Drosophila melanogaster: one gene and its partner. The protein of the gene in region 1 interacts with the protein of each later gene in a pairwise test. Each region holds a gene or a part of one and is shown on either strand. Other genes may lie near its edges. The genes, in order: EMC2A and EMC8-9.

Region 1 (3,925 bases):
TGGGGACCCGTAAAACGTTCGTAGCACTTCGAGCCCGTCAGTTCCACCATGTTAAGTTTGCCACCAACAGCCATCTCCATCTCTAGGCACTGTTTGGTGGTGGTGGCGTCCATCCAAATCGGAGTACGATTTACCACAAAGGCGGAGTCGTCGATTTGTGCGTGAAGGAACTTCTCGGAATCGAGGTTTTGCAGCGTGTTGATTCCATGTTTGGACCAGTAGAGCGATCCGTGCTGCTGTCCGGAGCCACTGATGGCAGCTACGGTGCTAAGATCCGCTTGCTGCATAACCAGTCGGTCCAGGACAATGTCCATGGCCTTCACCCACATCACTGGTTGTACAAAGTATCTAAAGAAGAACAAGTAAAGGTGGAGTCAGGTTAGCACATATATATTTTATAGTACCCATTGTATATATGGTCCCTGTTATAGGAAGGTTAAAAAAAACTTGAAGTGATAGAGACCCATTGTGGTGTAATAAAACAACTGCTATGAAATAGGGCCCTAAGTATTATCGGACAAATACCCCACAGCGCAAGATATAAAAACGTAAAATATATCCCCCTATTTGCTTTACGCAAACAATCATCCCATTAAAATCTTCAATTGGAGTAATGGATAGTGGTGAAACAGACTCACTCATTTTTGATGGATCCAGCGTTGGCTCCACCGGTGGTCCGGAACTCCGGCAAGTCGGTGTCGAATTTCACTTCAGCCGCGGCAACCACCTCCAAACTGGAGCCCAGCAGGACGGCTTTGAGCTGAGAGGAGTAAATGGGGCAGCAATTAGCGATATGGAGACACACCTCGAAAATAACGATCAAACATAGAGGGCAACTAGGAGTCACCGCCAGCGTCATTCAGGGATTGTGAAAGTTATTGCGGCTCTATTAAGATAATGTCGGGGGCCAATACCTCCGAACATGAATTTCAATAATCAAACCATAATAGTTAAATCGGTTGGCGCTCGCGTCTTTAGCAGATAAGCGAAAATCGAGCCCCGGTCACCGCAACTGATAAGAGTAGTTCGTGTTTCAAGTTCCCGAGTACCGTTTGACCTTTTCCAGTAACACCATTCGCACGCAATTGGCCCAGATGTAGTCGATTTGGAGACGCCTCCACATCTCAGATGCAAAGATACTACGTAGGCAGTTCCAGTTCTCACCTTTTGCGTGCTCAAGTCGAAGCCAAGAAAGGTTCGTTTCAGCTGCTTTGGCGGACCCATGTTCAAACTGCTTCCGGATCTGTTGGGAGTTGGGGAAATTAAACACAGCACCGCATGCGGCACTGCCCGATTCCACGGCTTTAATACCCGGAGAGCACGAGAGACTTGGCTTTTGTTGACGGTACCACAATTATTTGATTTGTTAGTGTGACCGTCGCTGGAAGAAAAACTATCATGTTTCATGTTTTCGTTGGCGCGCTTTTCAAATGTGCACTTGACTTAGAAATCTGTTAAAATGGATAAGCAATGCACAAAGTTTGGACAAAATAAGATTAATGCATGGTAAAATAATTCATTAAAGAATCCTTTTCAAGGACCTACAAGTATTTCAGAAGTATTAACAGTTTAATTAACTTTGCAAATATCGGAAACAAGGTATATGTAGAAAAACTTAACTTTAGAAGTCTCTTTATAATAAAAAGTTTTAAAAAATTACCTCTGACTTCATTTCTAGACTTTACGATATTCAAAAAGCAGGTTGGCAGCGCCACGCTAGTGTTATTTGGTATAATCTAACGGCTCATTACGCTGCCACACTTTTATTTTGCCAAGAAGGAAATCGCTAGTTAATGATTACAATTGGGAAATTAAATTAAATTGATGAGATATTTAAGTCCGCCTAAGTGAATATGTCGCTAGATTATGAGAAGATGAGCTGGTCGGGTAAGTTTTCGGCTTTTCCCGGCTCCAGACAGGTGCAGACCACGTCAGTGGGTTGCTCCCAATTGCCATGAATGAAAAGTGCCGTATCATAAGCGTATGATCATCCTTTCAGATGTACGGGATCAGTTCAGAACGTGGCGCGAGGAGACGGGTCGCCACAGCGAGGAGGTGGTCCAGCTGTGGGTTGCTGTGCTAGAGGACAAGGTGCACAAGACCGGCAACGAGCGGCATCTCATCCTGGAGCAGGTGATCATCGCGGCATTGGATACGGCTCGCTTTGACATCGCCACCAAGTGTACCAAGCAGCTGTCCCTCGAGTTCCCGGGCAGCCTGCGCGTGATGAAGTTCAAAGCGATGCGCTACGAGGCCCTGGAGCAGTACGATGAGGCCGACGAGGTCCTGGATGCAATCATTGCTAAGGACGAGACAAATGCCGCGCCCAGGAAGCGCAAGATTGCCATCCTTAAGGCCCGTGGTCGTCGCCTGGAGGCCATCAAGGAGCTCAACGAGTATCTGAAGAAGTAAGAAAGCTAAGTTCATGGTGTTTTTGGAAGAACGGAACCAAATTAGTTTCCGGCATCCGGTTGCTAGACAACTACTTATCTTACCATGTACGATAATCTCATAACTATTTAATATTCCTTCAGGTTTATGTCTGACCAGGAGGCATGGCATGAGCTGTGCAACATGTATCTGGCTGAAGGCGAGTTTGGCAAAGCTGCCTTCTGCATGGAGGAGGTTTTGCTGCACAATCCGCATAGCCATCTAATACACCAGCGTTTGGCAGAAATACGATACACAATGGTGAGCTATATAAGCCCACTAACCAGTAATGAAGTCCATCTTATGAATTAATTTTCTTTCAGGGTGGCGTCGAGAATATGGAATCGGCTCGCACTTACTATTCGCAGGCCCTGAAGCTTAATCCGCATAACTTGAGGGCCCTTTATGGCATTTACTTGTGCTGCAACCATTTGGACAACTCTCGTGCTGTGAGCTCCAAACGGAAGGAGCTGCAAAAGTTGAGTCAATGGGCCCTCGAACAACTTTTGACTAAACAAACGATTGTACCCTTGGAGGCTGCCTTTGGAAACCTGGAAATTAAATCGAATTGACCAATATAAGCACTAATAATTTGTGCAATAGATGCCAGAATGTAATGGTTCCAAATATTCTCAGAAGTGGGTTTCCAGTTTCTGTTCTTTAAGCAGGTTACATAGATAAACAATTAAAGAAATAGGAGTAAAAACAATTTTATAGTCAGTGCATCCAAGCAACTGTTTTTGGTGGTCTAGTATTGTTGACGGCATTGAAACCGGATAATTTAAAACATTTATTATTGAGGTAGGCAAAAATAGTCCTGTAATAAATTTAGATTAAACGCAATGAACTGCTTTGAATCATACTTTTAATCTTTGGCCTCAAGTTTTAAGCAATATTAACTCGTGCCCATGTGCTTACATCCGTAAAATTAATCGGGCACTGAACGACATTCAGAATAAGTCGAAGAACATTTATTCTGAAGATGGTGCCTATTGTATACTTGACTATTCGCTGAGGTCATTGACTCTTATTATTGTAAAAATTGCTTTAATGCACTAGATTAATTCTCACTAGGTTTGTGCGTGTCCATCGTCATACAATTGCAAATTTATATACGTACATGGCAATAACCATATGCATATTTACTTGCATAGCACTGTAGGTGCAATCGACGACTGCAGGGCAGCGAGGGCAGCGCTGATAATCCAGCGGACGGTTAAAAATAGTCCAACAATGGGACAGAATGCAATCAGTGGAATACCCCTCCCTCCTTCGGCATATTACTTCAGTTTGTGGAGGAGCCGTTGCCAAACATCCGTCCGCTGTGCGATTTTCTGGAATACTTTGGACGGATGATGTCCTTGAAAGTGAATGCGGATGCGAGTGGAGGCTTTTCCGAATTGCTCGTGGAGTCCGGACCCTGTCCTTGTGAGGAAGACAGCGTCGCATAAGCTGCATTCCTGCTGGTTGGAAGTCCATCGAGATATTTTAGCTG
Region 2 (3,925 bases), on another chromosome or scaffold:
AGAACTACAGAAGCATATAGCATATAACTGGCAAATCAAATACGAGTAAGGTGCTCAGGATGGCATCCCGTTGGTGATCAGAGATCCGTGATCAGTGATTCGTAGTCCCGGTCCCCTATACGTTTAGTGTACGGTGTAAAGAGTTCGTTATGCGTTCGATCAGATAATATGAAAATATACAATACACTGAAATTATATAAATAAACGTTTTTGCGATACTTTCGATCTCCGATATATCCACATAAGTACGTATTATGTATACCTATGTATAATCAGCAATCGCGATATTACAATATTATTGTAAAATATTTCAATTTACAAGCCAGACAAACCAAAAGCAAAATTATATACATATTATTCATCTGTATTTATTAACGATAATTGTAACGCGCTTAGGTTTACTCAACACAATAAACAGAACAGAACCGGACCGGACCGGACTTAAAAAGGATATTACAATAGGTGCACCAACAGACGGACTCGGACTGCAGACAACATTTGACTCAAAACATGATGAAAGAATTGATTATTTATTAATTAGTTGAATGTTATTTAACTTATATGCATTATTCTAAAGATTACTGAAATCCAAATGTAATTACAATAAATTAAATTGCAAGGTTGAAATTCCGGCATGTTCCCTCGAATGCGATTTTGCTAGACTAAAAAAAAAACGTACGTTTGAAACGGACGACTAGTACAGTTTCTGCAGATCGTTGAGCGGCTGATTCAGGAAGTCGTTGGTCCAGTTTTTGTCCGGATTATCTAGATGGTTGTCAAAGTCAACCAAATCCCGCATGGCTCCGCGCTTCAGCAGCAGCGACACGCCTTCCAATGTATCGGACGCCTGTGAGAGCGTAAACTTGGCCTTTGACCACCTTGCTCCAGAGTCTCCGGGACAGTTGAATACCTGGATGGCGGCTCGGTCGTGCTGCAGCGTCATCAGTTTGTTGTCCACCACCACAAAGCAGGCGTTCTTGAAGTTCTCCTGGATCTTGTCAGCTATCTTGGCGGCTGGGGTCTTGTCGACCTGGTTGTCGTAGAAGTTCTCCGGTGCTGCGTAGTAGCCTGCGATTACTAATCCTTCCCGTTCGGCGTGGGCATCGATCTGAAAGTGTAAGGTAATGTATTATTATCGTTATTTTATAAAATGTTTTAATTTAAACAATGGTACAACCTTATCGGCTTTTAAATTTAATTCAGTCTTCACAACTTCAATGCTTTAAGACTGCTAGTTTAATTTGGGTAATAAACTTCTAACAGGGTAAAAGTGGTGTGACACTAGTTTTTGAATTTGATATGCTAATATTAAAATACCATCGTGGGGTACAAGGTACATTTTACTAAATAAAGATCGCTTGGAACATAAACCTTTCTGTTCTAAGCACAACACTGGATAACTATGCAGCCGCAATAAGTTAGAATAGTTATATATCTTTTGGATAGCGGAGTGTTTGGCCAGGGTGCGAGGATCTAGATACAAATTGAAGCCATAATAGTTCCATTATGGGGCGCACCACATTGCTGTCCGGACACAAATGCACCGAGCCCCTCGTGATGTGAGTTTAGGAAGGGCAATTGGTAATTACCAGCATGAGGGCCACCTCCGCCATGGGGGTGACATACAGGCACTGGTGGAAAAGCGGAATCGCATCCACGATTTCCACTTGGGAGCCCTTCGATGTCTTCTCGGCCAGCAAGAGTCCGTTGACCGCCTGGTGTGGATACTTGGCCGCGTGGAATATCAACTTGGCGTACGCCCGCTCCGAGACCTTGTAGTCGCACATTTTCTCAGAATATTATCTCAATTTATTCGGCAAAAAATAAAACATGAATTGGAAATTCGACAGCTAGAAAGTGTGACCGCGACGCAGCTGTTCAAATATACCGCAAACGTCAAATATACAATGAAAAATACTAAAATGGATGAGCATGGAATGGATTCCACAAAAAATGTGATCAAAACTATATTTGTTAATTATGTCTTTAACATTGAAAATATATTTATAACTTAAGTTCTAGAAAATGGTTTCTAACATAGGTTGCAGTAGTCTGGTCACATCGATATGGGCGCGCAAACAATATGTGGATTCCACTTCAAATTAATTTATTACTCAAACTAATATTTAATTCTAACGTGAATGATGGAAAACATAACTGAATATGTGTAACATTTTATTTCTTAACTGTCCGTCTGCGTCTCGCTCTTGCTTGGTTTTTTTCTCCGGTTTTTTATATATGTATATTGTAACTAAAAATATTTAGCAGTTCAGCTGAATGTCCGGTGGCAGACCAACCCGGCCTTCCAATTGGATCCTTGAACACCATCAAACCACACCGATGGGGGAACTACGTCTGGCTTTCATTCAGTATTGCCTTGATGTCGTCGGCGTCAAGAGTCTCGTACTTGAGAAGCGCCTCCGCAAGCGCTTTGTGCTCCCTGGTGTGTTTTCGCAGGATAGCCTTCGCCCGCTCGTAGCTGTCGCTGAGGATGCGCTTGATCTCCGCGTCCACGGCTTCAATGGTGTTGGGACCAAGGGTGTCACCGGTGCCCAGACCCTTTGACGCCTCGATGGTGCGAAGACCGACCTTGTCCGACATGCCCCAGTCCCTGACCATATGCGTCGCGATCGAGGTTGCCTGCTTGAGATCACTGCTGGCTCCCGACGTAATCTTGTCCGTGCCGAAGACCAGTTCCTCAGCAGCACGACCGCCCATCATGGTGTCCATCATGGCCAGCAGCTGTGCCTTTGTGACATGGTAACGCTCCTTCTCCGGTATGTAGGCGGTGTGTCCAAGGGAGGGTCCGCGGGGCATGATGGTCACCTTGTGCAGCGGATGCGACTCCTTGGTGTAGAAGGCCACAATCGCGTGGCCGCCCTCGTGGTAAGCGGTTATGGTGTTGGCCTCCTCGTCCGGTAGACGAGCCTTGCGCTCGGGTCCCATAAGTACTTTGTCTCGTGCCGTTTCCAAATGCTTCATGCTGACCGTTTCGGCTCCATCGATGGCAGCTCTGCCAAAATGTTAGAATTATTAGTACCGCTCTTCAAAATTGTGATTGAATAATACAACACAAGTTATTCCTTACCTTAACGCCGCTTGGTTAATCATGTTTTCCAGATCCGCTCCAGTAAAACCAGAGGTGCCGCGCGCCAGCATGTCCAAGTCTATTTCATCGTGCAAAATCTTCGTCAGATACAGAGACAATATCTCCTTACGTCCAGTGAAATCGGGCGTCGACACCATGACTTCTACATCAAATCGGCCGGGACGCAGCAGAGCCTGATCCAAATCGTCGCGACGATTGGTGGCTCCCAAAACAATGACGCCAGCGTTCTGATGGAAGCCATCCATCTCGGAGAGCAGCTGATTGATGGTCTGATTGGCGTAAGGATGCAGCACAGAGTTGGTTCGCTTGGCGCCCACCGAGTCGATTTCGTCAATGAAGATAACACAAGGGGCACGGGCCTTTGCTGCCTCTGCAAGATGATGTTCTTGTTTAGTTGAGCACTTTGGATAATTGAAATCTACTTACTGAACAGATCACGCACTCGTCTGGCTCCTTGGCCTACGAGCACCTCGTCGAACTCCGGTCCGGCAGCATGGAAGAAAGGAACTTTGGCTTCACCGGCGACGGCACGGGCCAGCAGTGTTTTGCCAGTACCCGGCGGGCCAACCAGGAGCACTCCCTTTGGAAGCTTTCCGCCCAAATTTGAGAACTTTTCCGGACTCTTCAGGAATTCAACGACCTCCTTGAGCTCCTGCTTGGCTTCGTCGCAACCCTTGACATCCTCAAAAGTGACGTTGATCTCCTCAGGGTCCACTTCAACCTGGTTGCCCAGTTGTATGCTGCTGAAAGAAAGGCATATCAGATGGGTAAAGCAAAACTAATAACGTGGAGGCTCACCGAAATACGGATCCATTG

The links.
Region 2: the proteins of EMC2A (region 1) and EMC8-9 interact in a two-hybrid assay, tested with the Drosophila melanogaster proteins (2 studies listed by BioGRID).

The regions. Positions count from the first base shown.
Region 1 is NT_033777.3:16,993,888-16,997,812, reverse strand, and holds EMC2A (ER membrane protein complex subunit 2A), read left to right. Parts: upstream 1-1,741; 5' UTR 1,742-1,853; coding exon 1,854-1,887; intron 1,888-1,999; coding exon 2,000-2,408; intron 2,409-2,534; coding exon 2,535-2,691; intron 2,692-2,753; coding exon 2,754-3,002; 3' UTR 3,003-3,271; downstream 3,272-3,925. Other genes in the region: CG3534 (uncharacterized protein), read right to left, coding at 1-348, 639-760, 1,165-1,224; CG31274 (uncharacterized protein), read right to left, coding at 3,716-3,925.
Region 2 is NT_033778.4:22,880,813-22,884,737, forward strand, and holds EMC8-9 (ER membrane protein complex subunit 8/9), read right to left. Parts: upstream 1,879-3,925; 5' UTR 1,788-1,878; coding exon 1,590-1,787; intron 1,109-1,589; coding exon 695-1,108; 3' UTR 510-694; downstream 1-509. Other genes in the region: YME1L (YME1 like ATPase), read right to left, coding at 2,350-3,013, 3,089-3,479, 3,536-3,852, 3,908-3,925. UniProt on the Drosophila melanogaster protein: Part of the endoplasmic reticulum membrane protein complex (EMC) that enables the energy-independent insertion into endoplasmic reticulum membranes of newly synthesized multi-pass membrane proteins like rhodopsins.